Linked DNA regions of Macaca mulatta. The protein of the gene in region 2 interacts with the protein of the main gene of each other region in a biochemical or structural test. Links are inferred from orthologs where the notes say so. Each region holds a gene or a part of one and is shown on either strand. Other genes may lie near its edges. The genes, in order: USP16, CDK1, CDC25C, CREB1, PBK, RGCC and H1-1.

The links.
Region 1: of the proteins of CDK1 (region 2) and USP16, one has a biochemical effect on the other in vitro, tested with the Homo sapiens proteins (3 studies listed by BioGRID). The link is inferred for Macaca mulatta from reciprocal best matches to the Homo sapiens genes CDK1 and USP16.
Region 3: the proteins of CDK1 (region 2) and CDC25C form a complex in vitro, tested with the Homo sapiens proteins (3 studies listed by BioGRID, with this or other methods). The link is inferred for Macaca mulatta from reciprocal best matches to the Homo sapiens genes CDK1 and CDC25C.
Region 4: of the proteins of CDK1 (region 2) and CREB1, one has a biochemical effect on the other in vitro, tested with the Homo sapiens proteins (2 studies listed by BioGRID). The link is inferred for Macaca mulatta from reciprocal best matches to the Homo sapiens genes CDK1 and CREB1.
Region 5: the proteins of CDK1 (region 2) and PBK form a complex in vitro, tested with the Homo sapiens proteins (2 studies listed by BioGRID and IntAct, with this or other methods). The link is inferred for Macaca mulatta from reciprocal best matches to the Homo sapiens genes CDK1 and PBK.
Region 6: of the proteins of CDK1 (region 2) and RGCC, one has a biochemical effect on the other in vitro, tested with the Homo sapiens proteins (2 studies listed by BioGRID and IntAct). The link is inferred for Macaca mulatta from reciprocal best matches to the Homo sapiens genes CDK1 and RGCC.
Region 7: of the proteins of CDK1 (region 2) and H1-1, one has a biochemical effect on the other in vitro, tested with the Homo sapiens proteins (23 studies listed by BioGRID). The link is inferred for Macaca mulatta from reciprocal best matches to the Homo sapiens genes CDK1 and H1-1.

Annotation. Positions count from the first base shown.
Region 1 is NC_133408.1:18,448,037-18,451,520, forward strand, and holds part of USP16 (ubiquitin carboxyl-terminal hydrolase 16), read right to left. Parts: intron 3,181-3,484; coding exon 3,086-3,180; intron 1,860-3,085; coding exon 1,773-1,859; intron 1-1,772. UniProt on the Homo sapiens protein: Specifically deubiquitinates 'Lys-120' of histone H2A (H2AK119Ub), a specific tag for epigenetic transcriptional repression, thereby acting as a coactivator.
Region 2 is NC_133414.1:89,039,122-89,043,182, reverse strand, and holds the start of CDK1 (cyclin-dependent kinase 1), read left to right. Parts: upstream 1-1,261; 5' UTR 1,262-1,277; intron 1,278-1,309; exon of another isoform or gene 1,310-1,332; intron 1,333-2,851; 5' UTR 2,852-2,876; coding exon 2,877-2,913; intron 2,914-4,061. UniProt on the Homo sapiens protein: Plays a key role in the control of the eukaryotic cell cycle by modulating the centrosome cycle as well as mitotic onset; promotes G2-M transition via association with multiple interphase cyclins.
Region 3 is NC_133411.1:147,191,334-147,194,833, forward strand, and holds part of CDC25C (M-phase inducer phosphatase 3), read right to left. Parts: intron 3,093-3,500; coding exon 3,047-3,092; intron 280-3,046; coding exon 246-279; intron 136-245; coding exon 46-135; intron 1-45. UniProt on the Homo sapiens protein: Functions as a dosage-dependent inducer in mitotic control. Tyrosine protein phosphatase required for progression of the cell cycle. When phosphorylated, highly effective in activating G2 cells into prophase.
Region 4 is NC_133417.1:112,832,371-112,835,870, reverse strand, and holds part of CREB1 (cyclic AMP-responsive element-binding protein 1), read right to left. Parts: intron 2,829-3,500; exon of another isoform or gene 2,812-2,828; coding exon 2,711-2,811; intron 91-2,710; coding exon 1-90.
Region 5 is NC_133413.1:29,573,026-29,577,130, forward strand, and holds the start of PBK (lymphokine-activated killer T-cell-originated protein kinase), read right to left. Parts: upstream 2,801-4,105; 5' UTR 2,759-2,800; coding exon 2,752-2,758; intron 1,119-2,751; coding exon 1,041-1,118; intron 1-1,040. UniProt on the Homo sapiens protein: Phosphorylates MAP kinase p38. Seems to be active only in mitosis. May also play a role in the activation of lymphoid cells.
Region 6 is NC_133422.1:20,846,429-20,850,503, forward strand, and holds the start of RGCC (regulator of cell cycle RGCC), read left to right. Parts: upstream 1-1,275; 5' UTR 1,276-1,576; coding exon 1,577-1,625; intron 1,626-2,128; coding exon 2,129-2,314; intron 2,315-4,075. UniProt on the Homo sapiens protein: Modulates the activity of cell cycle-specific kinases. Enhances CDK1 activity. May contribute to the regulation of the cell cycle. May inhibit growth of glioma cells by promoting arrest of mitotic progression at the G2/M transition.
Region 7 is NC_133409.1:157,091,530-157,094,081, reverse strand, and holds H1-1 (histone H1.1), read right to left. Parts: upstream 1,149-2,552; coding exon 501-1,148; downstream 1-500. UniProt on the Homo sapiens protein: Histone H1 protein binds to linker DNA between nucleosomes forming the macromolecular structure known as the chromatin fiber. Histones H1 are necessary for the condensation of nucleosome chains into higher-order structured fibers.

The DNA.
Region 1 (3,484 bases), on a different chromosome or scaffold from region 2:
TATGATCATGTACGTTGTCATAGTCCTCAATGTGACTATAATCTTATAAATTGTCCTTAGCTGCCTCTTCCATTATGCCCTTCACAGCTACTGGCCCAGCTTTTTTTTTTTTTTTTTTTTGAGAGTTTCTTGCTCTGTCACCTAGGCAGGAGTGCAGTGACGCAATCTCAGCTCACTGCAGCTCTGCCTCCCGGGTTCCAGCGATTCTCCTGCCTCAGCCTCCCGAGTAGCTGGGATTACAGGTGCACACCACCATGCCTGGCTAATTTTTGCATTTTCAGTAGAGACAGGGTTTCACCATGTTGGCCAGGCTGGTCTCGAACTCCTGACCTCAAGTGAGTCAACTGCCTTGGCCTCCCAAAGTGTTGGCATTACAGGCGTGCGCCATCACGCCCAGCCCCAAATTCTTCAACATGGAGATTCTTTGAGATCGTTTGTGGCGTCCTCACTTTCTACCCCTGCCTATTCCACTCAGATACTTAGGAGGGTCCTGTCATTGGCCATCTCCTCTTTCTCTCTTCAGACACTATACACAAGGGATCCCATCTTCTCATATTTTAAACCACCACATATGTACTGATTTCTAAATCTTTGCCCTGGGCCCGTCCTAACCTCTCTGCTGTAGGTCTCAGATATGTATATCCAAATGTTTTCTAGACTAAGCACATTAATTTCTCAAAGATATCTGACACTCAAATGTATCTAACACTCAAGTTATTATCCTTTTTCTACCTGCTTTTCTCAACCTGCTTTTCTCCCTATATTTCCTACCTCAATTTACAGCACTCCCATCCGTCAAGCCAGGCCTCAGGAATCATCCTCAACCCTTTCTCTGACACCCTCAGCATCCATTTACAAAAGGCATCTGCCTCACCTTCCAGTGCCAATCAGTCATTAAGTCTGGTTAATTCTACCTCCTGAAGTAGTCTTTCTATCTCCCCATCTCCTGCCCAACTTTAAGCCCTCATCAACTACTGGCTGAATTAATGCAACAGCCACCTAACTCATTTCCCCACCTCTAGTCTTTCCCTCCTAAAATCCAGCCTCCATATGTCAATAAGTAACCTATGTCATATGCAGATCTGACCATGCCACCCAATGCTTTAAACTCCTCAGGGCTCCCCACTGTATACCTAATGAAGTCCAAGTTCTACACCATGGGAACCCTCCAAACCTTCATTCCTATCTCACTTCTCTGGCTTCATTTCTCAACTCCCCCATACCTTGTACTGTAAACTCTAGAACTACATACATTACCAGTCTCTGGCACTCACCATCCTATTTTACCCTGTTGCCTCTACTCCTGCTGTTCTTTCTGCCTGCAAAACTCATTTCATCTTGATTCATCATACTTTCACTCCTTCTTTAAATATAGTTGAGGCACGGTTTACTTTAAAAAGCCATTCCTGAACCACCAACATGCTGGGTTAAGTGTATACCACCCCTGATCTATGTTCACCAGCCTTAATATTCAACCACATTAAACTGAGATTATTCATTAATAGATGTGCCCACCTTTAGTTTTATGCCTTCAGCTCACAAGACAATGTGTGCCATAATAAAGGGGATTCTAAACGTTTAACTGAAATAACCCATTCTTCAAAATGATTCATCACTAATCTTCAAATTATAAAGGTACAATGATCAAAGACCCACTCTACTCAGTAATTGTTATCAACTTCATACTTAAGTGAGTTGCTACTGGAGCATTAGGTAAGTAAGCTATGATGTGACTTTAAAGGACTTTCCTGAAAAAGACCACTTTCACTTACCTTACATTTAAGGGTGCAAAAAGGAGCCAAATCTAAGATTTCCGGAAACTTTATGTGTTTGTTAACTTTGCGTAGGTTAAAGCCAGCCTAAAAGAGAAATATAACAGATTGACTTATTTTCCTGGAAAAGCAATACAGGTTAAGTAAACCAAAGTCCCCTCTGATGTCCAAAAGAATATCAACATTAAGTCCTAGTTCAATTTTCTTTGGAGACTCAATTCTTTCTGACCACTAACTGGTTCCAAGTTGGTTTGCTTTTGCTAAGTGCACATGTATCACACAAAAAACACATACCAACACATTAAGAAAGCTATTCCCAGCTGGGCACGATGGCACATGCCTGTAATCCCAGCACTTTGGGAAGCTGAGGCAGGAGGATCACTTGAGCCCCAGAGTTCGAGACCAGCCTGAGCAACACAGTGAGACTCTGTCTCTACAAGAAAATTAAAAAATTAGCTGGACATGGTGGTAGCCACCTACGATAGAGGCTGAGGTGGGAGGATTGCTTGAGACCCTCCAGGTCAAAGCTTCAGTGAGCCATGATCGTGTCATTGCATATCAGCCTGGATGACAGAACAAGACTGTTTCAAAAAGAAGAAAAAAAACTGTTCTTGTGAGAAAATTCTCAATGTTTCTGCTTCAGCCATCCAGAAATGCCAGATTAGAGCAGAGGTTCTGAGTGCTTAAAACTCAGCGATAGCATAATACTTTTCTGTGAAACATGCACTCTCAGCCTCATGCTCGAACCAAGCTTAGTGAATTGCTAATAAAGGCCCACCCAATTACTCAAGCCCATACCAACCACAAGGGGAAAAACGTTCTGAAGATACTGAAAGTACTTTCGGAATCTGGAACACAGTTTAGAAGTTATACAGCTATAGCAAAAGTTTTCCAGAAAAGACAAGGTCACCAAAATGATGACAATCCGAGGCACCACTGTCTTTTCATCAAGGGTCCATAAAAATAAGATGCCACACACAAAACAGAAAAGATAAGCTAATATTCCTAAGCATGAGATATATGTAATACACCAGTCTTTTATTTTATTTAACCTGAAATAAAAGTAAGATGCCAATCTTACTAAAAAGAAGAACATGAATTCTAGGAAATCTGAGGAGACTGTGCCTCCACCTTCACATGCGCCTCTGCCTAGCCCCTATTTTTTTCCCTTTCTGACTTCATTGACATTAGAGTTGAGAAACAACAGAAAACCAAAGAAACATAGTAATATGTTGAGACAGTAATGAATAAAATAGGTAATAAACAAAATAGGTGTTACATATTTAAAACAAATTTTGGGTAACAAGGAGTACCTGCTGAAATCTCTTTAAATGAAGAGTAAGAACAGGAGGAGCAAGAGAAATTAGCATCTGCTTTTTGGCATTGGTATAAACATGCTTCCTTTCACCTAAAGAAAAGAAGAAATTTTTAACAGGGTGAAAATCATTTTGGACCCCTACAGCATTCAGGTTTACTATAAAATCATTTCAAACATCCAAAGCAAGGATCAGTAAACTTTTTCTATGAAGGACCAGATAACAAACACTGTAGAATTTGTGGAGTAAGAAGCAAAATCAAAGATATTTCATAAGTACTTATACGAGATAAAAATGTCCATAAATTCTGACTGATGAAATCAAAATACTGTAATAACTGAGAATGATTACAATCAAAGAAAAAAGTGGAATTACTGTGGAGAGACACAATATTTT
Region 2 (4,061 bases):
TTTGTTTATTTTAAAAAGATTTTAGAATGGTGTTTAGGTTGGGCTGGTGGCTCACACCTGTAATCCCAGCACTTTGGGAGGCCAAGGCAGGAGGATTGCTGGAGCCTAGGAGTTGGAGACCAGCTAGAGCAACATAAGGAGACACCGTCTCTGCAAACAAACAGGCAAAAAAAAAAAAAAAAAAAAAAAAAAAAAAAAAAGTAAGAAAGAGAGAAAGAAGGAAAGAACAAGAAAAAAATTAACTGCATTAAATGCAGAAATCTGTCTTAAGGATATTGTGGATGGCAATGAAGACAGAGTTTTTGACACTGGATTATTTAAAGCATAATTTAAACCTCTTTTTCTCCCCTCATAGAATTGTGAATTTTTGTGTTTTAATAATATTTAAGCTGGTCATGGTGGCGGGTGCCTGTAGTCACAGCTACGCTGGAGGCTGAGGCTGATTGCTTGAGCCCAGGAGTTGGAGGCCAGCATGCATAGCATAATGAAACCCAGGCTCTAAATACATGCCTCTCTCTATATATTTAAAATTCTGATGTGAAAATATTTTAAAATTTACATTTCAAATGTTTTTAATTGCATAATACACAAAATGTAAATAATAAAATAATTTAATATTAAATTCAAAAATGAGGTAGAAACAAAGCACAGCGATATAAATAATAAATCTTCCTTTACAGTTTTGAGACAGTCTTTTAAGTTTTCCATTACCTTCTTAAGGTCACTGAAAGGTGCTCCTTGGAGCCAGCCCGCAAATCACGCATTTAGAAAAACATAACTATACACTCCTAACCCTAAGTATTAGAAGTGAAAGTAATGGAATCTCGATGTAAACCCAATATCACTTTTTTGATGAGCTATTTTGAGGATAATAATTTTGAACTGTGCCAATGCTCAGAGAAAAAATTTAAAAGAAGAACGGAGCGAACAGTAGTTTCCTGCTCCGCTGACTAGAAACAGTAGGACGACACTCTCCCGGCTGGAGGAGAGCGCTTGCGCTCGCACTCAGTTGGCGCCCGCCCTCCTGCTTTTTCTCTAGCCGCCCTTTCCTCTTTCTTTCGCGCTCTAGACACCCGGGAAGGCCAGCCTAGCGTAGCTGGGCTCTGATTGGCTGCTTTGAAAGTCTACGTTCTACCCGATTGGTGGATCCGGGGTCCTTTAGCGCGGTGAGTTTGAAACTGCTCGCACTTGGCTTCAAAGCTGGCTCTTGGAAGTTGAGCGGAGAGTTACGCGGTTGTGGTAGCTGCCGCTGCGGCCGCCGCGGGATAATAAGCCGGGTACAGTGGCTGGGGTCAGGGTCGTGTCTAGCGGATGGCCCGGGGACCTCGAAGGGCGAGTATTGAAGAACGGGGTCCTCCTCTAAGAAGGCCGGACTGGAGAGCAGGGACCTGCGCGGAGCCAGGCTGGGCCTCGGGGTGGGGTGGGCAGGGCCTTTGCCTGGGCCTGGGCGTGTGAACCACACTGCGCCGGCTTTAGAGGGAGGCTATGGGAGCCCAGCCTGGCGGGGTTAGGCGGCGTGGGGGTGGGGGTGGGGGTTCGGGGCTGCAGTCGTGAGTTCAGGTCGGCTGTTTAGGAACTGCCTTAGGAGGCTTTCGGGTCTTGATTGAAGCAAAATCCGCTCCCCCACACTGAGCGCCAGCGGAGTGGCAGGCTCCTTCCTGGGCCCGGCCCCTGAGCGCCCTCCCATCCCGCCTCGGAGGTGGGAAAGCGGGACCGCACCTGGGCCAGGTACAGGCGCAGATTCCTAAAGCGAGGCTGCCCTGAGAAACCGATCCCGGAACTCGTGGGCCTTCTGGGGCTTGCTCTGCCCACGGCCCCGGCCCACCTGGAGCTGTTAAGAACACTCAGCCCAGGCACTTAACACTCATGAGCAGTGTAGTGCAGTTTTTTTCATTTAAAAAGATATATCTCTGCTTCTTTCTGGATTGATTTTTTTCTTTGAAGATGAATGTGGGAAATAGAACTTAAAGGTCTGTTCAGAGCGGGCTTTATAAATGATCTTATCATCAGTGATGGGTGTTAGAAAAATCTAGGTAATTATGCCTGGAGTTCTGACGTTTCATTGACAAACTTCAGAGGAAGTCTTGAACTTCTGGTTGTTTTTTGTTTTTTTTTTAAACCCATTCATTGTGATTCAGGTATACAGTTTTTCTGCTTAGTCCTTGACATTGTGTAGGCTATAATTAGAATTTTATCTGTGGAATTGCACTTTTCATTCTTTTGTTTTAGGGTGCTTAAGTGATATTTCCGACTCTTGGAAAAAGTACCTTGAAAGTCTTGAGCATGTTTGTGACCTCTGCAAGCAGAGGAAAAAAAGATTAAAATTGTCACGTGGGCAACTGGAAACGCTTAAAATGTTTTTGCCGCTTTAAACAAAATTTTCCTAATGAACAATCTGAACACATTTTAGTTCTCCCCTTATAACTATAAAAAATAGTGTTTTGAATAAAATTAGAAATATCATAAAGCGGTATAAATTTGTTGAAATATTTGGGTATAACTTTGGCACACTCAGATACTAGTGTCACAACAAGGGAACATAATTCTGGTTTTTCTTTGGAAAGAATAGACAAGTTGATATCTGAATTTGAGGGTTATTTTGATTGGAAGAAGCTAAATAAATACTACACTAGTATAGAATATACACGTTTCCAATGTCTCAGGAGTCCAGAAGGATGGAAAGTTATTGTAGGAGTCCTTACCCTTGTAAATATTGTTTGAATGTAGTTAATATTTATGGAATACTTATGTACTGCAGTAGGCACAGTGGAAAATGCTTTACATATAGTGTAATGCTAAAAACTACTCAAGTTAGTGGCATGTAATTAAGTCAGTTTTTCCTTCATTTTAGGATCTGCCATACCCATTGACTAACTATGGAAGATTATACCAAAATAGAGAAAATTGGAGAAGGTGAGTGGTTTTAGTAATATAAATTTTTGGGGATGATTTAACAATGCTACAACTTCTGTAATATGAACACATGTAAATATTTATTAAAATTCAACCATTAAGATGTCTTGTAGTACCAGTGTGCATTAATATATGTTCTTTACTTAATAAACGCAAATTTGTTCACATTTCAAGAGAATTGAAATTACTGAATCCCTAATGACCCATCCCTTCACCCCCATAGTCTTACAGTCTTCTGATACTAAAGAAGTATCAGAAATACTTGTATTTTGAAGACACTATTGATGACTTGCACATGTGTTGAGGGGCAGAGGTTAGGGATGCAGAATTATGCTAATTTCATAGTCTATTTTTAGTCTCTTTCAATTATTTTTAGGATGATAAATATTCTTATCCAGCCTTTATAGACTGGTTACAATAATTGACTTAATCTAATTTAAATAAAATTTCTATTTAGTTACCGTAAGAAAAAAATGACCTGTCATATGTACATGTTTAAGCTATTCTAAAACTATAACTTACGTATATAATCATTCCCTTTCTGTGGTACTTGAAGGAATGATCAGATCTATATATGGCACAAATGAGGGGTATATCCCTTCGCCTGTTCCTTGACTCCAACAGAACATTCTCAATTCTCCAGGTACAAAATAATTTGCTAGTAGAATCCAGTTTATATCGGTTCTGCCAGAAGGAAATTCACAACTATATTTTTAATGTGATCAAAGACCTCACTTGACAAGAAATAGTAAAAAAACAAGGGGGGAATACTGGAGGGAATTTAGTGAAATAGGAATGACAAGTTAGTGTGGTGTTCGATTGGAGGGGTGTGTGTGTGTATTTATTTTTATTTTTAAACAAATTAAATACCTCATACCCATTCTACTAAACACATTTTGCTGCTGAATTAAAAATAATGTGATTAGTATGTCTAATGCTTTGTAGTATGTTTCTTAAATTCCCAGGGAATTTGTGTTGATTTCAGTTTGGCATAAAAAGAGACCTTCTTAAAGTATAAATATATTTTTCTTTAAGATGATAGAACTCCAAACCTATAGGAAACTACAGATTTGACTTCTGAGAAAAGTACTTTAATTGCTACCATAAATAAGAGCAGTTAAGAATGTAATTTTAAATGTAATCCATTA
Region 3 (3,500 bases), on a different chromosome or scaffold from region 2:
AAAAATAAAACTGCCAATATATCTAGGTTTCCATTAAACACTCACATTTTCTTTATTTGCAGATAAGCTACACATTGCATCTCTCTTTCTATGGCCACGGTCCAAACCATTCGGAGTGCTACAGAGAAGCTGTGCCTAAAAAAGAGTTTGCTGAGAACGTCCCGCATCAAGTCACAGGTGCAATGGAAACCCTCTGTCTCCCACCTGAAAAGCAAACCCAAACCCAAAAAAGAGAGGCTACTCACTGGGCTACATTTCATTAGGTGCTGGTGATGATTCCTGCAGATTAAAACAAACTGCCTGTCAGGTTAGCCCCAAATACTGTTTGATTATTCTTCAGTGGATTTGGTGCATCCCAACATTTTTAAAATTTCATTCTAGGAGCCCTATTCCCAGTTGATATGTCTCTTCCAACAACAATACATAGGGTATTCTCTGTGGTAAATATGAAGACTCAAGTGATATCTTGGGGATAAGACCCTCATTTTGCCTGTATAACCATATAAATAAACATGTACCAAAGATGAACGAGTTTTATACAATTTACTAATTTTCCAGCACAGTGTATTGGGGCTAATTTTTTTTTTTTTTTTTTTTTTTTGAGACAGTCTGGTTCTGTCACCCAGGCTGGAGTGCAGTGGCAGGATCTCAGCTCACTGCAAGCGCCGCCTCCCAGGTTCACGCCATTCTCCTGCCTCAGCCTCCTGAGTAGCTGGGACTACAGGCGCCCGCCACCACGCCCAGCTAATTTTTTGTATTTTTAGTAGAGACGGGGTTTCACCATGTTAGCCAGGATGGTCTCAATCTCCTGACCTTGTGATCCGCCCGCCTCAGCCTCCCAAAGTGCTGGGATTACAGGCGTGAGCCACCGTGCCGGCCAGGGCTAATTTTTTAAAAAAATTTAATTTCTGGCCGGGCGGGGTGGCTCACACCTGTAATCCCAGCACTTTGGGAGGCTGAGGCGGACGGATCACCTGAGGTTGGGAGTTCGCGACCAGCCTGACCAACACAGAGAAACCCGTCTCTCTACTGAAAATACAAAATTAGCTGGGCGTGGTGGCGCATACCTGTAATCTCAGCTACTCGGGAGCCTGAGGCAGGAGAATCTCTTGAATCCGGGAGGGGGAGGTTGTGGTGAACCGAGATCGCGCCACTGCACTCAAGCCTGGGCAACAAGAGCAAAACTCCGTCTGGAAGAAAAAAAAAAAAAAGCCCGGCGTGGGGGCTCATGCTTGTAATCCCAGCACTTTGGGAGGCCGAGGCGGGCAGATCACGAGGTCAAGAGATCGAGACAATCCTGACCAACATGGTGAAACCCCGTCTCTATTAAAAATACAAAAATTGGCCGGGCGCGGTGGCTCAAGCCTGTAATCCCAGCACTTTGGGAGGCCGAGACAGGCGGATCACGAGGTCAGGAGATCGAGACCATCCTGGCTGACACGGTGAAACCCCGTCTCTACTAAAAAATACAAAAAAACTAGCCGGGCGAGGTGGCGGGCGCCTGTAGTCCCAGCTACTCGGGAGGCTGAGGCAGGAGAATGGCATGAACCCGGGAGGCGGAGCTTGCATGAGCCAAGATCACGCCACTGCACTCCAGCCTGGGCGGCAGAGCGAGACTCTGTCTCAAAAAAAAATAAAAATAAATAAAAAAATAAAATAAAAATACAAAAATTAGCTGGGCATCGTGGCGTGTGCTTGTAGTCCCAGCTACTCGGGAGGCTGAAGTGAGAGAATCGCTTGAACCTGGGCGGCGGAGGTTGCAGTGAGCTGAGATCAGGCCACTGCACTCCATTCTGGCAACAGAGTGAGACTCCATCTCCAAAAACAAAACAAACAAAACAAACAAAAAACATATCTATATATAAATTTCTATCCTCCCTCTGTGGATTTCATTATCTATCTGGGTTAGAGCATTTAAAGCAATTCAGGCGGGGCCAGGTGACTCCCATCTGTAATCCCAGCACTTTGGGAGGCCGAGGGGGTTGCTGATCACTTGAGGTCAGGAGTTCAAGAGCAGCCTGGCCAACATGGTGAAGCCTCATCTCTACTAAAAATACAAACATTAGCCAGGCATGGTGGTGGATGCCTGTAATCCCAGCTACTCAGGAAGCTGAGGCAGGAGAATCGCTTAAATCGCTTGAACCCAGGGAGGCAGAGGTTGCAGTGAGTCAAGATGGCGCCACTGCACTCAATCCTTGGCAACAGAGCCAGACTCCATCTCAAAAATAAAAATAAATACATAAATAAAATGCTTGGTATGTGTTAGATACACAGTTTATTTAATCCTTACAATAGCTACTTTATGACAAGTGCTATTATTGTCTCCATGTTACAAATAAAAAAAATTAAGGTCTAAAGCAGAGTCACAACTGGTGAATGAAGTAGTAAGCCAGGAATCCAGACACTGATTCCAGAGCCTACACTCTGTACTTTCTTTTTTCTTTTCAACACGCAGTCTCGCTCTGTCGCCCAGGCTGGAGGGCAGTGGTGCGGTCTCTGCTCACTGCAACCTCCGCCTCCCGGGCTCAAGCAATTCTCCTACCTCAACCTCCCAAGTAGCTGCGATTACAGGCATGTGCCACCCCACCCGGCTAATTTTTGTATTTTTAATAGAGACGGGGTTTCTGCATGATGGGCAGGCTGGTCTTGAACTCCTGACCTCATCTGATCCGCCTGCCTTGGCCTACCAAAGTGCTGGGATTACTACAGATGTAAGCCACCGCGCCTGGCCACTCTGTACTTTGAATTACTAAGATACAGCACTTTTCACATTCAAATAAAAGCCTATATAAGTGTAGTATACCATTTTCCTTCATTTCCTTATAGATACTTCTGATTATGACAGTTAAAATGAATAGCCTTCATTTTCACAACACTATTTAGATCTGGAAACCTTAGAAACTGTTCAAGGTAAGGAACTAGGCCTCAAAGCCCACTTATACCCAATATGAAAGGTTTTGCACTCTGCAGAGTCCGCACAGGATAAAATCTCTATGACCAGTGCTAAAAAGCTTTTGCATGGGGTTCATTTAGCAACAGAACTTACATCCCAGCTAAATGCACTTCCTGAAGTCCTGAAGAATCCAGGTGACCTGCAATCAAATATAAAAAATCAGTAAAAGGAGTTATTTTTGTCCATGCATCTTGTTTTTCCTTCAGATTTTCTTCATTACCAGTAAGCCATATTAATTTCAAGGACTGAGCTTTTGAATACAAAGCCTCTCGATTGATACCCATTTCATAGTACAAGGTACAATTTCACAGAAACTTAAGGTTTTATGTGTCACTAAAAGAAGTAGTGCTGGGAAACACTGTACTTTGCTACCTACGGAGTTTTTTTTTTTTTTTTTTATGAGTAGAAAAGAAAGATTATCACTCAGAAAATCTGAAATTAGAATTCTGGAAGGTTAACTTATGAAACATTCCTTTTGGAATATTTTATATAAAACATATAAGAATTAAATGACAATGTATTTCTTTTTCTTTGAGACGCAGTCTCG
Region 4 (3,500 bases), on a different chromosome or scaffold from region 2:
ATGGCAGGTGCTGAGGTCTCCTCTTCCGACTTCTCTTCTTCAATTCTTGGCACTCCTGGTGCATCAGAAGATAAGTCATTCAAAATTTTCCTACAAAATTAGAAAACTAGAATAATTAAAAATATAAGTAAAATTTACTGGATAAATACAAATAATAGTTAAAGATGAGAAAACTGACAGAAAGCTGGTAGTGCTTAGGACAGAAGGTTTTTGTTTTTTTTTGTTTTTTTTTTTTTTTTTGAGACAGAGCCTTGCTCTGTTGCCCAGACTGGAGTGCAGTGGCACGATTTTGGCTCACTGCAACCCCCACCTCCCGGGTTCAAGCAATTCTCCCACAACAGCCTCCCGAGTAGCTGGGATTACAGGTGCCTGCTACCACGCCTGGCTAATTTTTTTGGTATTTTTAGTAGAGACAGGGTTTCACCATGTTGGCCAGGCTGGTCTCGAACTCCTGACCTCAGGTGATCTGCTCGCCTCTGCCTTGGCCTCCCAAAGTGCTGAGATTACAGGTGTGAGACACTGCACCCAGCCAGCAGAAGTTTAAAATATATAAATTACATGAATAAACTCTTCATGGGTCAGGGATTGATCTAGACGTCAAAATGAACCCAAGTAAGTACAAAAAAAAAAAAAGATGGATTCTCTTTAATATCAACGTAAGGAAGGGTGCAATTAAGGGTAATAATAAGACTGACTACATTAAAAAAAATCTTTTGCATCTCAAAGAACACACACACACAGTCGGAAAGTAAAAAGTCAACAATCAATTAAGGGGGAAAAAAGATCAAAACCTGATTTTTAAATTCTCACTTTTCAGATTGGGAAACAAAAAAGTTTAACAATATCTGTTAGCAAAGCTACAAAAAAACCCCCACACTCTCATACATTGCTGCTGGGAGTATGAAACTGGCACAACCCCGATATAAGGAATTGGTGAAATTTAAGGAAATATAGGTGTTCATGCCTCAATCCCATTTCCAGGAATTCACCCCAATTCCAACAATATGAAAATAAACTCGCTTAAGATTATTTCCATTAGCACTGTTTGTAACTGCAGAATAGTGGAGATATATATCCAAAGTCTAAAATAGAAAAAAAAAAAATAAAAAGGAAAATAAATACTGGAAACACTCTATATGCCTATATATAGGCGAGTGGTTGAATAAACTATGGTACATCCAAATAATGGATATAGCATATCTTTTGTGTAAGGAAAAAAGGGAAATAAGAAAATGTACATGTACCTGCTCATTTGTTCAAGAGAAAAAATCGGGATGGATAAACCAGAAAGTAATGATTTTAGCTATTTACTGGGGATGGGTAGGAAAGAAATGAAAACGACAGAAGGAATGGGGAGGCACTACTGAGTATACTTTTTTGTGCAATTCTGACTTTTGGTACAGTGTTAAATGTTTCACTCACTAGGAAAAAAAAAGCGACAAGGATGAGTGGAGAAACTCTAAAATGGAACCCCAAAACAGAAGAACCATACCATATTTCAAGTGAACAACATAATCACACTGAAAGGCGGGGAAAAAACCCCCTAAAAACCCCAACCCAAGTAATTTTTGATATCTTAAATTTGTAACAAAATAGTTATAAACTCTGTCCCTTTATGCTATTATAAAAAATGACATCTTCCTATATCATGTGCTTATTCACATAAATTTATAGTTACTGTTTTATGCCTTTGTCTTTCAAATCACATAGGAAAAAAGGAGTTACAAACCAAAACTATAATAATCCTGGCTTTTATATTTACCTAGGTAATTACTTTACTAGTAGTATTTGGTTGGATTTGCTTCAGGATCAAATGTGTTATATACTAACATGAGATACACTTCAAAGTTAAAATCTAACACTAGCTGTACTTAAAATAAATTATGAATATAAATACATATAACATATACTGGTAATATAAGATTTCTTAGACCTCAAAATCAATTTATTGTGAGTCACTTAGGATTCTTAATTTAATTGTAAGGACAGAGAAAGGGGTTAGTTTAATAGCCAAGCGGGGGGAAAAAACTACCCCTTTGAAAAACAGAAATATATAAAAATAAAAATAATTTACACTAACAAGAAGGAAGATAATTATGAGTCTGAAGTTTCTTAAATGCTCAAGTAAACGTGTCAAGATTTATGGAACTGTCCTTCCTGGGATACTTAATGTGGAGCTAATTTTTACACTAAAAAACGGTTTTGGTTCACCTTGGAGGCAAGGCATGGACTAGGCAACAACAATAACTGAACACAAAAATTACAGTAAACTACCCCTAAAATTAGGGGATGTTAGTAAAGCATCTTCCTGAGACAATTATCAAATTAATAGCTATCTGTTAAACACCATGGCATAAAAAATGGTTTGCAATGTGTTATTAAGCAGATAAATAACGGAGCCTCAGAGTTGGCTTATAACTAAAAAATGCTATAACCTTATTAAATGTATTCCACATTTTTCAACAGAAAGACAGCCAGCACAGTCTACAGAAACAGAAAAAAAAAAAAAAATCAGGACTGGTGAGAGTAACAAGTGCTCTTCTTATTCTGTAGGATAAGCTTCACTTTATTTGAGACAAATAACTCAAGATGAAGAAAAGTAATCTATAAAGAACTGACCTGAGCAACTAACTGGTCTTCTGACATCTCTTTATCTGCAACTACCTAAGACTTCCTACACATCTTAGATTCTAACTATTAAAATCCATACCTGTAAGAAGGCCTCCTTGAAAGAATTTCCCTTCGCTTTTGGGAATCAGTTACACTATCCACTGACTCCTGTGAATCTTCACTTTCTGCAATAGTTGAAATCTGAAAATAAATAAAAACTTTATCTTGATAATCAAATTTAGTTCCTATAAAATTTTTGTTAAACAGTCAAATACAAAAAGTCATATATAAACTTTATACATGCTTCAGTAGAAAAAAATCAGTTCTTATGGGAGACAACCATACCAATCACTCTCCCCTTCCCTTTACTTACCCTATAAACTAAGATGAAGTTAGAGAACCTAAAATAGCTACAGTTTAATTTTTTTTCAGGACTCCATGTAATCAATCCTGAATGCATCAGTATTACTTATCAGTTTTTTCTTACATCTGTTGGAACAAAACTACCAACTAAAATAAGGTTTCTGATATAAGGGATAAAATGGATGGCTAAATATTTGGTACTAAGTCTATATAGTGACTATACAAATATTATTCTTTAACTTTATAAACACTTATGAATATATTTACAGTTATACAGTAAGACTGGCGATCCATCATCACATCCCTGACAGTTGTTCCTAGCAAGTTAGGAAAAACTCCTAACATGTTTCAAAGTTAGCATTCTATAATCATGTTTAAGTAAAAATTCAAGGTAAAGAACTATGCATTTCTGAGAAGAATCCCTAGACTGAAAAGTAATAAAGTGAATAAAAATTTTGGTACTATACTATTATATGCATTCCATAGATGGAAGAACTAAGATACAAAGTAGTAACTCACCCGAGTCA
Region 5 (4,105 bases), on a different chromosome or scaffold from region 2:
AATACTAAAACTAGACAGATATCCCAAAAAGACAACTGCAGTCCAATATCCCTCATGAATATAGACAATATGAGCAAATCAAGCAATACATAAAATATATCGTAACCAAACTGGCTTTACACAAGGAATGGTCAGTTTAACACTTGAAAATTAACATAATTTACCACATTAAGAGATTTTAAAAGGAAATGTAATAGATTCAGAAAAAGCGCTCTACAAAGTTCAATACCCACTCACGATAATAACTAGAAATAGAAGAAAACTTCCTCAAACTAATAAAGGGCATTTGTGAAAAACCTACATCTAACATAATACACTGGGAACAAGGCAAGTATTATCCACTAACGTTTCTATTCAAAAACATACTGAAGGCAGTGCAATTAAAAAAAAGTAAAAGAAACAAAGCCATACAGACTGGGGAACAAAGTAAAACTGTCTTTATTTATCCACAAATGACCAACCATATACAATATCCTAAGCAATCTATTAAAAAGCTAATGGAATAAGTGAGTTTAGGATGGTTGCAGGATACAAGGTCAATATGAAAAATCTGTCACTAGAAATGGACAACAGAATATTTTCTCATGTTATTTTCTAGAAATTTAACTTTAGCTATTTTTTATATAATGGGAGTTAAGGGTCAAGGCTTATTTTTTGCACATGGATATCCAGGTGTTTGTTGAAAAGATTGTCCTTTGTCCATTGAGTTGCCTTGGAAAATATCTTTCCCTCATAAGAGCGATGTATGGATGAGAGGGAGAAAGGTAAAGCAGTTCTTTAATGGGTCAAGCTAAGTTGATTATTGAGCAGGGAGAGCCTCCAAACCTGTTAGATTGTCAATAAAATTAGTCCAGATATGATCAAACCCTGACCTATAAAATGTCTTATTTGTTAATATTAACATCATAAAGGGGATTTACGCTAAAGTTTCTAAGTGACCGATAATAAAGAATCAAACTAAATATTACTAGGACATTTCTAAGAGAAACAACAATAGTAATAGTAAAAAAAAAAAAAAAGTCTTACATCTGCTATCTTACCAGATTTCTTTTTTTCTGATAATTTGCATGGTGTCTTGAAATTACTGATCCCTTCCATTGTGACAACCACTCTCAGTCCTATGATGAAAACAAATTGTAAGTTACACAGCAGATACAAAGAATACAACTCTCATTCATGAAGAAAAATGCCTATAGCTGGGCACAGTGGCTCATGCCTGTAATCCCGGCACTTTGGGAGGCTGAGGTGAGTGGATCATCTGAGGTTGGGAGTTCGAGATCAGCCTGACCAATATGGAGAAACCCTGTCTCTACTAAAAATACAAAATCAGCCAAGCGTGGTGGCGCATGCCTGTAATCCCAGCTGCTCGGGAGGCTGAGGCAGGAGAGAATCGCTTGAACCCGGGAGGTAGGGGTTGCGGTGAGCCAAGTTCGTGCCATTGCATTCCAGCCTGGGCAATAAGAGTGAAACTCTGTCTCACCAAAAAAAAAAAAACACAAACAAAAAAAAATGCCTATAACATTATCACTCATTTTATCACAAACAAAATTTGAGAACTAAAAAAGACCTCAACAAACATTTCGTCCAATTTTACTTAAAATGAGGAAACTAAAACCAAAAAGTATAATTAGTTACCCCTGTCATAATATTAGTGATTGGGTATTTTTAATTATAAAGTAATATATGCACTTAGCTAAAAAAAAAAAAAAATCACCTAGTACAACAAGGTAATCAGTATGTCTCCCTCTCACACTTCCCAGGAGTAGTTGTTAACAGGTCTCTTATATCCTTTAAGGAAACTGTGCAAGCAGCATTTTTCATAACAGTCAAAAGGCAGAAACAACAGAACTCTCCATCAGATGATGAATGGATAAACAAAATATGTGACATAGCTATACAATGGAATATTCAGTCATAAAAAGGAATAAAGTGCCAATATATACAAGAATGAACCTTGAAAACATTATACTAAAGAAGCCAGACACATAAAGGCTACATATATGATGATACCATTTTTTTTTTTCTTGAGACCAAGTCTGGCTCTGTCACCCAGACTGTAGTGCAGTGGCGTGATCTAGACTCGCTGCAACCTCTGCCTCCCAGGTTCAAGCGATTCTCCTGCCTCAGCCTCCTGAGTATCTGGGACTACCGGCACCCACCACCACGCCTGGCTAATTTTTATATTTTTGGTAGAGATGGAGTTTCACCATATTGGCCAGGCTGGTCTTGAACTCCTGACCTTGTGATCCACCCACCTGGGCCTCCCAAAGTGCTGGGATTACAGGCATAAGCCACCGTGCCCATCCAATGATCCCATTTTTAGGAAATGTCCAGAACAGGCAAATCATGGAGACCAAAAATAGCTGAATAGTTGCTAGGGGTGGGGAGACAAAGAATGTGGAATGACTGCCAGTGGGTATGGGGATTCTTTCTGGGGTGATGAAAAGGTTCTAAAACCAGATAATGGTTTGATATATTAATCTCTGAGTATACTAGAAACTACTGAATTTTACACTTTCAAAAGATGCATTTTTATGATACATCAATTATCTCAATAAATGGTTATAAAAATTGTCTGTGAAAATAAAATGAGGCCGGGTATGGTGGCTCACACCTGTAATCCCAGCACTTTGGGAGGCCAAGGCAGGCGGATCAGTTGAGGTCAGGAGTTCGAAACCAGCCTAGCCAACATGGCGAAACCTCGTCTCTACTAAAAATACAAAAAAATTAGCCGGGCATGGTGGCCTGTACCTGTCATCCCAGCTACTTGGGAGGCTGAGGCAGGAGAATCGCTTGAACCTGGAAGGTGGAGGTTGCAGTTTGCCAAGATCACGCCACTGCACTCCAGCCTGGGCAACAGAGCGAGATTCCATCTCAAAAAAAAAAAAAGAACGAAAGAAAAGAAAATGTACATACCACATATATAAACAAAGCAACTCAATGTGTTTCTTCCTTCTATAACATATTTAAGAATTTTTTTATTTTAAAAATTATATTTCTTTTTAAAAAATCAGGTTTCCTATTAGATTTATTTATTATAAAGCAAAACTGTTCCTACATGTCTATAAGCTCATTTATCTATATAAAAAGTTGGGAAGAAGGGGGATTTGCTTAAATTTTTTATGGAGCCCTTAATAATAGCATCTTTAAAAACTGCATAGTAAGGGGAAGAAAATCATCTCAAAGGCCTAGCTTTAACTGTCTATTAATGACAAGTTTGTTCATCTTGTTTAAAATGTAGCTACAATCACTACTGTCTTTAGATTTACCTGTACTGAGAACACTGAAGAGCCCCTTTACATGTATTTGTCAAGAATATAATAATTTTATGAAGTGATGCATTTAACTTGAAGGCAGGACAGCAGAATTTCTGAAACCAGTTTCAGAACTTTGGGGAAGGATAAACTATTTAGCAGAGTGGTTGCAGGAGGTATTTCTACTTCAAAACCAGTTTCAGAACTTTGGGGAAGGATAAACTATTTAGCAGAGTGGTTGCAGGAGGTATTTCTACTTCAAAACCAGTTTCAGAACTTTGGGGAAGGATAAACTATTTAGCAGAGTGGTTGCAGGAGGTATTTCTACTTCGGAAATAATTTCCCCATGTCATTCTGACTCCCCTTCTTCCATCTGTGTTATCTTTCCCCACAGGACGCTGTGATGTGGCACCTCAAAGATCTTCTAAGACTTTTTTTTTTTTTTTTTTTTTTTGGAGACAGTTTCACTCTTGTTGCCCAGGCTGGAGTGAAATGGTGCAATCTCGGCTCACTGCAACCTCTGCCTCCCAGGTTCAAGCAATTCTCCTGCTTTAGCCTCTCAAGTAGCTGGGATTACAGGCATGTACCACCATGCCCAGCTAATTTTTTGTATTTAGTAGAGACGGGGTTTCACCATGTTGATCAGGCTGGTCTCAAACGCCTGACCCTTAGGTGATCCACCTGCCTCAGCCTCCCAAAGTGCTGGGATTATAGGCGTGAGCCACCGTACCCAGCTTTCTCTAAGATTTCTATCTACCTGTGTGAAGCTACTCTTCATTCACTCAATCAATATGCACACACTGAGCACATACTATGTGCTCTAACAGTGCACTGTTCTACACTTTGGAAAT
Region 6 (4,075 bases), on a different chromosome or scaffold from region 2:
AGCCCCATGGCCTCAGCTCCCAGATTGGCTGCTGGTCTGTTAGCTCAGGGCATCACCAGTGGGTACCAAGGGCAGGTCGAAGAGAATGAGGGATGGAGAGAGAGAAAAAAAGAATGTAAAAGGGGATAAAGAAAAAGGGAAGGAAAAGACAAAATGAAAGCTGCAGATGCCTTGCCCTGTTGCTTCCAGGACCTGGGTTCTCTGCTTTCTTTCTTTCTCCTCTTGGCTGCCCAGCTGTCCACCTTGCAGGAACTCAGAGCTTCCCCCTGTGGAAGGAGGAGGGGGTAGTGAGGCCGAAAGTGTCTCTCAAACAACACAGACCTGCCTTTCTACCACTAAGTGACTGACCAGCTACTTACCCTCTCTGCGTCTCAGTTTTCCCGCTGGCAAAACAGGGGCAATAATTTCACCGCTCAGGGCTGCTGCCAGGAGCTGGAAACTGCGCACACCAAGTCCTGACGCCTCAGAGGCCCTCGACCAGCGGCGTAAGATGCCTCCTTCCCTCTGAGTCTGTGGGTCAGAGCCCTCGCAGCGCTGCCCGACAGAACTTCCTGCCGTGAAGGCTGCTGAGCGCTCAAAACGTCTCTAGTGCTAAGGAGAGGTTGAGTGTTTCATTACGTTGCATGTTAATTGCTCTACATTTAATTAGCCGTCTGCGGCGAGAGACTAGCGCTTAGCTCAGCGCAGAGTCCAGGGCAGGGACTGCCCCCGCAGGCCGCGGGGCAGGGTGGCTCGTTACTCGGTGGACACTGCAAGGCGCCCGGTTCGCGCTGCGTGGACGCAGTAGTTTCTTCCCATAATAACCCCCTTCTGGATAAAGTCAGGCTGGCGGGAGCGTCCTGGACCGTAGTTCAAGCCCCCGCGCTCCGCGGTGGGAACAGTTCAGGACTCCCCCAACTTCTGCTCCTTTCGCCCCCGACCGTCTCCACTCCGCCCGCCCACCATCTCGGAAGTCCCCTTGGGACAATGCGGAGGGGACCTCCGCGTCCCCGACACCCAATTGGGCCACGGCCGCGGGCTCCTTCGTCCCTCGCCGCCAGCCAGGGAGGCTCTGCATGCCCACGTCCACTGCACAGCCGAGGAAACTGCGACTCGCGGAGGTGCCCGGCACGCGGCGGGAAGCAGCGGAGCTCGCGCCCAGCAGTCAGCTCTGGTGACGCCGAGGACACCGCGTGGGCCGGGTTGTCAGGGCGCGCGGGCGACAGGCGGGTAAATATTTGGGGCTGTAACCCGGGCTTCGGCGACTCCTCGTCACTGCGGTTCCAGGAGGGGCGCGTGGCGAGGGCGGTGCCTGGGGGCAGGGGCCTCCTCGGAGGGCGGTGGAGACAGACCCGTCGCCTCGGCTCCGCAGCCCCGCCCCGGCCCCGCCTCCGCCCGACCGCCAGCGGCTATAAGATCTAGGAGCCGGGGCCGGCCGGAGGGCTGGCGCGGATCGTGCTGGGAGCGGCGCGGCGGGAGCGCAGCGCCGAAGGGACTGGCAGGGCGGGAGTGTGCGGGACAGCGAGCCCCGGAATAGCCCAGGCTGCCACCTCGCAGGACCCAAGGCCACGCACGCCGGGCCCCGCTGAGCCGCCTCATGAAGCCGCCCGCGGCGCAGGGCAGTCCCGCGGCCGCCGCGGCCGCAGGTGAGTGCGGGGTCCGGGGTCCCCTTAAAGTCCCGGCTCTGCAGATGGCGGGTGAGAAAGGAGGCGCCCCCTGTCGTCCCTTTACACCCGCCACCCTTCCATCCTCCCAGGCGGGACCCTGTCCCCTGTCGTCCAGCGCGGGCGGCTGCAGCCTCCTTCCCGGCCCGGGCTGGCCCCCATGTCCCACCTTCCCGCCACCACCAGCTCCGCGCGCGCCCCGGGTTGGGGCGAGCGTGGGGAGGAGTCTGGCCGCGCCAAGTCGCTGTGTGACCCTGGGCCTGGCGGAGGCTCCGTTTTCTTGTCTGTAAAACGGACTTGGTAATAGAACGCACTTCGGGGATGGTGGAGAAGATTACCAGGTAACAGCGACTGCGTGGCTGTCACTTGACAGAGGCGCCAAGTGTCAGTTATCTTCGGGAACCGTGGAGGCCCCTCCTGGCCCTGGGAGGTGGTCTCGCTGCCCCCCTGACTTCCGTGCACTGAGTCCCCGGCCCTGCCCGCAGCCCCGGCCCTGGACTCGGCGGCCGCGGAGGACCTGTCGGACGCGCTGTGCGAGTTTGACGCGGTGCTGGCCGACTTCGCGTCGCCCTTCCACGAGCGCCACTTCCACTACGAGGAGCACCTGGAGCGCATGAAGCGGCGCAGCAGCGCCAGCGTCAGCGACAGCAGCGGCTTCAGCGACTCGGAGAGTAAGTGCGGCCCCCGCTAGGATGGCGCCGGGATCTCCCAGTTCCCAGCACCTGGCCCGCGAAGGTTGCGGCCTCAGTTTTCTTATCTGTAAACTGAGGAATGGTGTCCAGGAACCTAGTCCTGAAGCTCAAAGCAGTAGGCCGAGCAGTGGCGGGGCCCCTGACGATAATCACGGGAGGGGTCGCTGGAGGGCAGGTTGGTCCACCTGCCGTCCACAGGTGTGTCACCAGGCAGGCGAGTTTAAGCAGCTTGTCCCGACTGAGCCAGACAGGACTCCCTGGACCTGCACCAGGCCTTTCCACAGTTTCCCTCCTCTTCTCCTTTCCCGTGCCTCTCCCCTCTCCCCTGTAACTTTGCAGATGTGGAATAGGTGCCAGTGGAATGAGGGGGCACAGTGGGGACATGGGAGGGCGCTGAACGGAAATATTCATGAAACCAGGAAAGGTTTCATAAGCCCAAACGGCTGTTCCTGGGATTTATGAAGTAACTGTTTGCATTTTCTTCTGGCCCTGAGCGCTCAGACTTGTTGCTCCATCGCATGCAGTTATGAAAATCTTTGGCACTGCTGAGTTCAAGTATTTTTCAGCCAGGTCCTCCACCAGGCTGGAGGGGGAGCCAGAGAGCACAGGGGCATGAAGGTGCTTCCTGGTGACCTTTCTCACAATGGAGACTACCCCAGGGTCTCTTTGTCCTGAACAACTTTGTCAACAACACAACAACAACAACAACAAGAGACAGCTTCTCCCAGGAGCTCACATGTCCCGGGAGGATTCAAACAGCAAATTAGGTGCCTTTTTAGTATTACATGATTGTTGGTTTCAAATCCAGAATTACTTACTGTTTTTCAAAGTGCAAAGTCAATTTTAAACTCTTCTGTGTTATTCTTCAACCTTTAATCCCTAGATGGGTTACAGGCATGAATGTCACTCCTTTTGCTGCCCTTGACTCAGGACGTGAAAGTAATGGCCTTTCCTTGTGATTCTCTTATTTTGAAACCTGGAACTCTTCCTTGTTCCTGGGCTAAGATTCGGGGCTAGACTTGAATGTGAGCTGCTCTTCTGCAAAGGGATAAATGCACTCACCACCCTGGTCAGGGTTTGACTCAGAAAGCTGAGTTCCAGCTTGAGTTTCCTTGGCAGCATTGCCAGAGAGTTAGACCAAGCTGCAGCTTTTGAGGTGAAAGGGGATGGAAGAAAGTACTGTTACTTTTCCACTTAGAATTTTTGGACTTTGTTCCTAATGAACAGGTTCATTTTTAGTTTCAAAGCGAAGTGTTTACATTCTGGAAATTTGTCTCAATTCCTAAGGCCAAACTTAAATATGTCTCCTTTTACTGGGGCATGGAGCAAGTTATTCATCAAATACAGATTCTCCCATGGAAAAGAAAGCTGGGACAGTGTGTCACTGCAGCTCTGTGGCAAAGAACAGCTCCTTTCTAAGCAACAGCTTCACTCCTCTAGAATAGGTCTAAGAGTGCCCATTCATGGCTGATTGCAGCTTCCACTGAGTGGGATTTCAGATCTAGGATCTGTTTTCAGATGCCTTAAAGAGAAGGCATAGAAACACATTCTTAACAGTTGCAGGGGAGATAGTTGGGATAGTTTGTAGTTTTACTTAGGTTATATGTGTCTATTTTGTTTTCTGCTTTTGTTGTTAACTGACTAACCCGTAGTTTGGTGGTTAGAGAAGTGATGAGAAGAATATAAAGAAAGCTCAGATGACATTTGTCTTTGCTTTAAATGTGTAGTTTTTCTCTCACA
Region 7 (2,552 bases), on a different chromosome or scaffold from region 2:
CGTGATTAAGCCATGAATTTTGCTTACTATCCCAGAAGCATTTCTTAGGACCACCCAATTTCGGAAAAGGCTACTTTAGCAATATTGACCCAAGAACGCAATGTCCGCACTTTAACCTTGCATAATAAAAAAGCCTCAAGCCTGGGACTAGGCTTCAACCTTGGTTCGTTACAGTTATGACTAATTAGCTTGGGGTCGTGAGATGCGGGACTTCGGGCTACTTAAAAAAAAAAAAAAAAAAAAGCAAAACAGGTGATCTAAAATTCGACTTTAACTCGGTGCATTTGAATTCACCTTGCTATCTTTGATAGCCTCATCTGGCAAGAATTTACTACTCAACCTATGTTAAAGTTCCTATTGACTCTCCAAGTGATTCTAATATAAATGAGGGCGTATTGCATTTGCTTGGGGGAATTTCATCTGTGTACTACAGCTCTTTTCCCGAAGTGTGTAGGTGGCTCTTAAAAGAGCCGTTGGGTTAGTAAAGTTTCCAACCGAATTTACTTTTTCTTGGGTGCCGCTTTCTTGGGTTTGGCAGTCTTTGGCTTCGTCACCTTAGCCTTGGCCGCCTTGGGTTTTATAGCCTTAGTTTTAGCAGGGCTTTTAGCTACTTTCTTGGGTTTTACAGCTTTGGGTTTTTTGGGACTCTTAGAGGATTTCCTTGTTGCCGCAGACTTTTTAGCATTTTTTGGAGTCTTGACGTTCTTTTTGCTAACCCCCGTGGCCTTTTTGGGCTTTTTAGACGCACCCGTTGCCTTGGTTTTTGCAGCCACCCTTGAAGCGCCGGGCTTGGTTTCCACGGAGGATGCCTTCTTGTTGAGTTTGAAGGAACCCGAGGCGCCGGTGCCCTTCGTCTGCACCAACGTTCCCTTGCTTACCAGGCTCTTAATACCCAGCTTAATGCGGCTGTTGTTCTTCTCCACATCGTAGCCTGCGGCCGCCAGCGCCTTTTTAAGAGCAGCCAACGACACACCACCACGCTCCTTAGAGGAGGAAGCAGCCTGCACGATCAGCTCTGACACGGAAGGGCCAGCAGGCTTTTTCTTAGTGGCCACCGCAACCTTAGCAGGTTTCTTTGCCTTCCTGCTAGCTGAAGGTTTCTCAGGAGCAGCAGAAGCGGCGGGAGCGGGAGGCGCCGTTTCGGACATGGTGACTAATACAGCACACCAAGTAAACTGGTATAAACCTGACCAAGCAGGATGCGAGAAAAAAAAGGCCCCGACTCAGCCTATTTATAGGGTGGGACTGCGCAGTGATTGGTGCCCGTCAGTGCCCGCCCCTCGCACCCTAGCGCCCCCTGCGCTCTGCAGAGGGTTTCCCCCAGTCTCAGAGAGCACCTGGGGGCCTCTAGGGCCTATGGTCCCGCTCCCCTCAACGCAAGCAAACACACCGAAAAAGCCGCTCCGATTGCCTCATTGTGAAGGAAATTGTAGGCCGACTGCCACCTAGTAACATCAGAGGGTGCCGCTTGTCTCTCAAAAAGCAGCTCTGTTTTAGGGAGTAGGTTGATGGGGAGCGGTTTGCAAATGCAGCCCCACAAGCATCCAGGGAGTTTTATTAGAAAGTTTTAGAGGTCCGTTGCCAGATATGTTAGTTTTTAATTTGCAAGAAATGTAAAATACAGTGTTTGAATAGTTGGGGAGGAAGAGGAAAGTGCGGGTTTTAGGCCGTGTTAGGGCTAGTAGTCATCAACTCGATTACATTTTCTGGCAATGTTTTAGAGCGATGTGTCTCGCGAATACCTTTCACGTCAAAGAAGAATGAATCGTAGACAACACCAGAATTCACTAACGCTGCAATTAATACTCAAACTGCAAGTGTGGAAACGTTTCTGCACTTGTAACTTACTTCCACAGTCCAATGTGGGATGCACTTCAGGAATTTCCAATGCCCTTTTCATCCATACAACATGCCCCAAATGGGTGTTAAGGTTTACAACCTGTGTTCCATGTCAGCACATGCAATGAGAGCACCATGACATGGTGAACTCATTGTTTTATTCAACAAAGATTTATGGGCCTCACAAACCTGCGAAAGGCGTTAAATGCTGGGTCCAAGAAACTGGTTCCCCGACAGGCATTCTGCTGGGGAGTTAAGTCTCCTTAGTGTGAAAACAAACGGTAAGTGTAAGCACACCCTGGGGATAAGATTTTATGGTAACCTCTCTTTAGCTTGTTTGTGGCTGTTAAGAGCATTTCAAATTATCAATAAGCTAAAACGATCTCACATTGCCAATCAGAGACTCAGCTAACGGGAGAACAAAAAAAACTATTAAATCGACATCCACTTCTACAATCCTATTCTGGATAACCCCCTAACACAGCGGAGAGTGAGGGAATGCGGTCTATTTCCGTTCGTGCTGTTGTAGTTTTTAAATAAGTCCGAACTGTGCTAAGTAACCTGAGCTTTTTCCCTTTTTCTTCAAACAACGTGTCAACCAAATAATTGTAGTAGTCCCAGATAACTATTGTACCCATCTTCTTTACCAGTGTTTCCTACGTCTATTTTATTGAGAAGCCACGCATTCAAATATTTCACGTAATTTCTTAAAA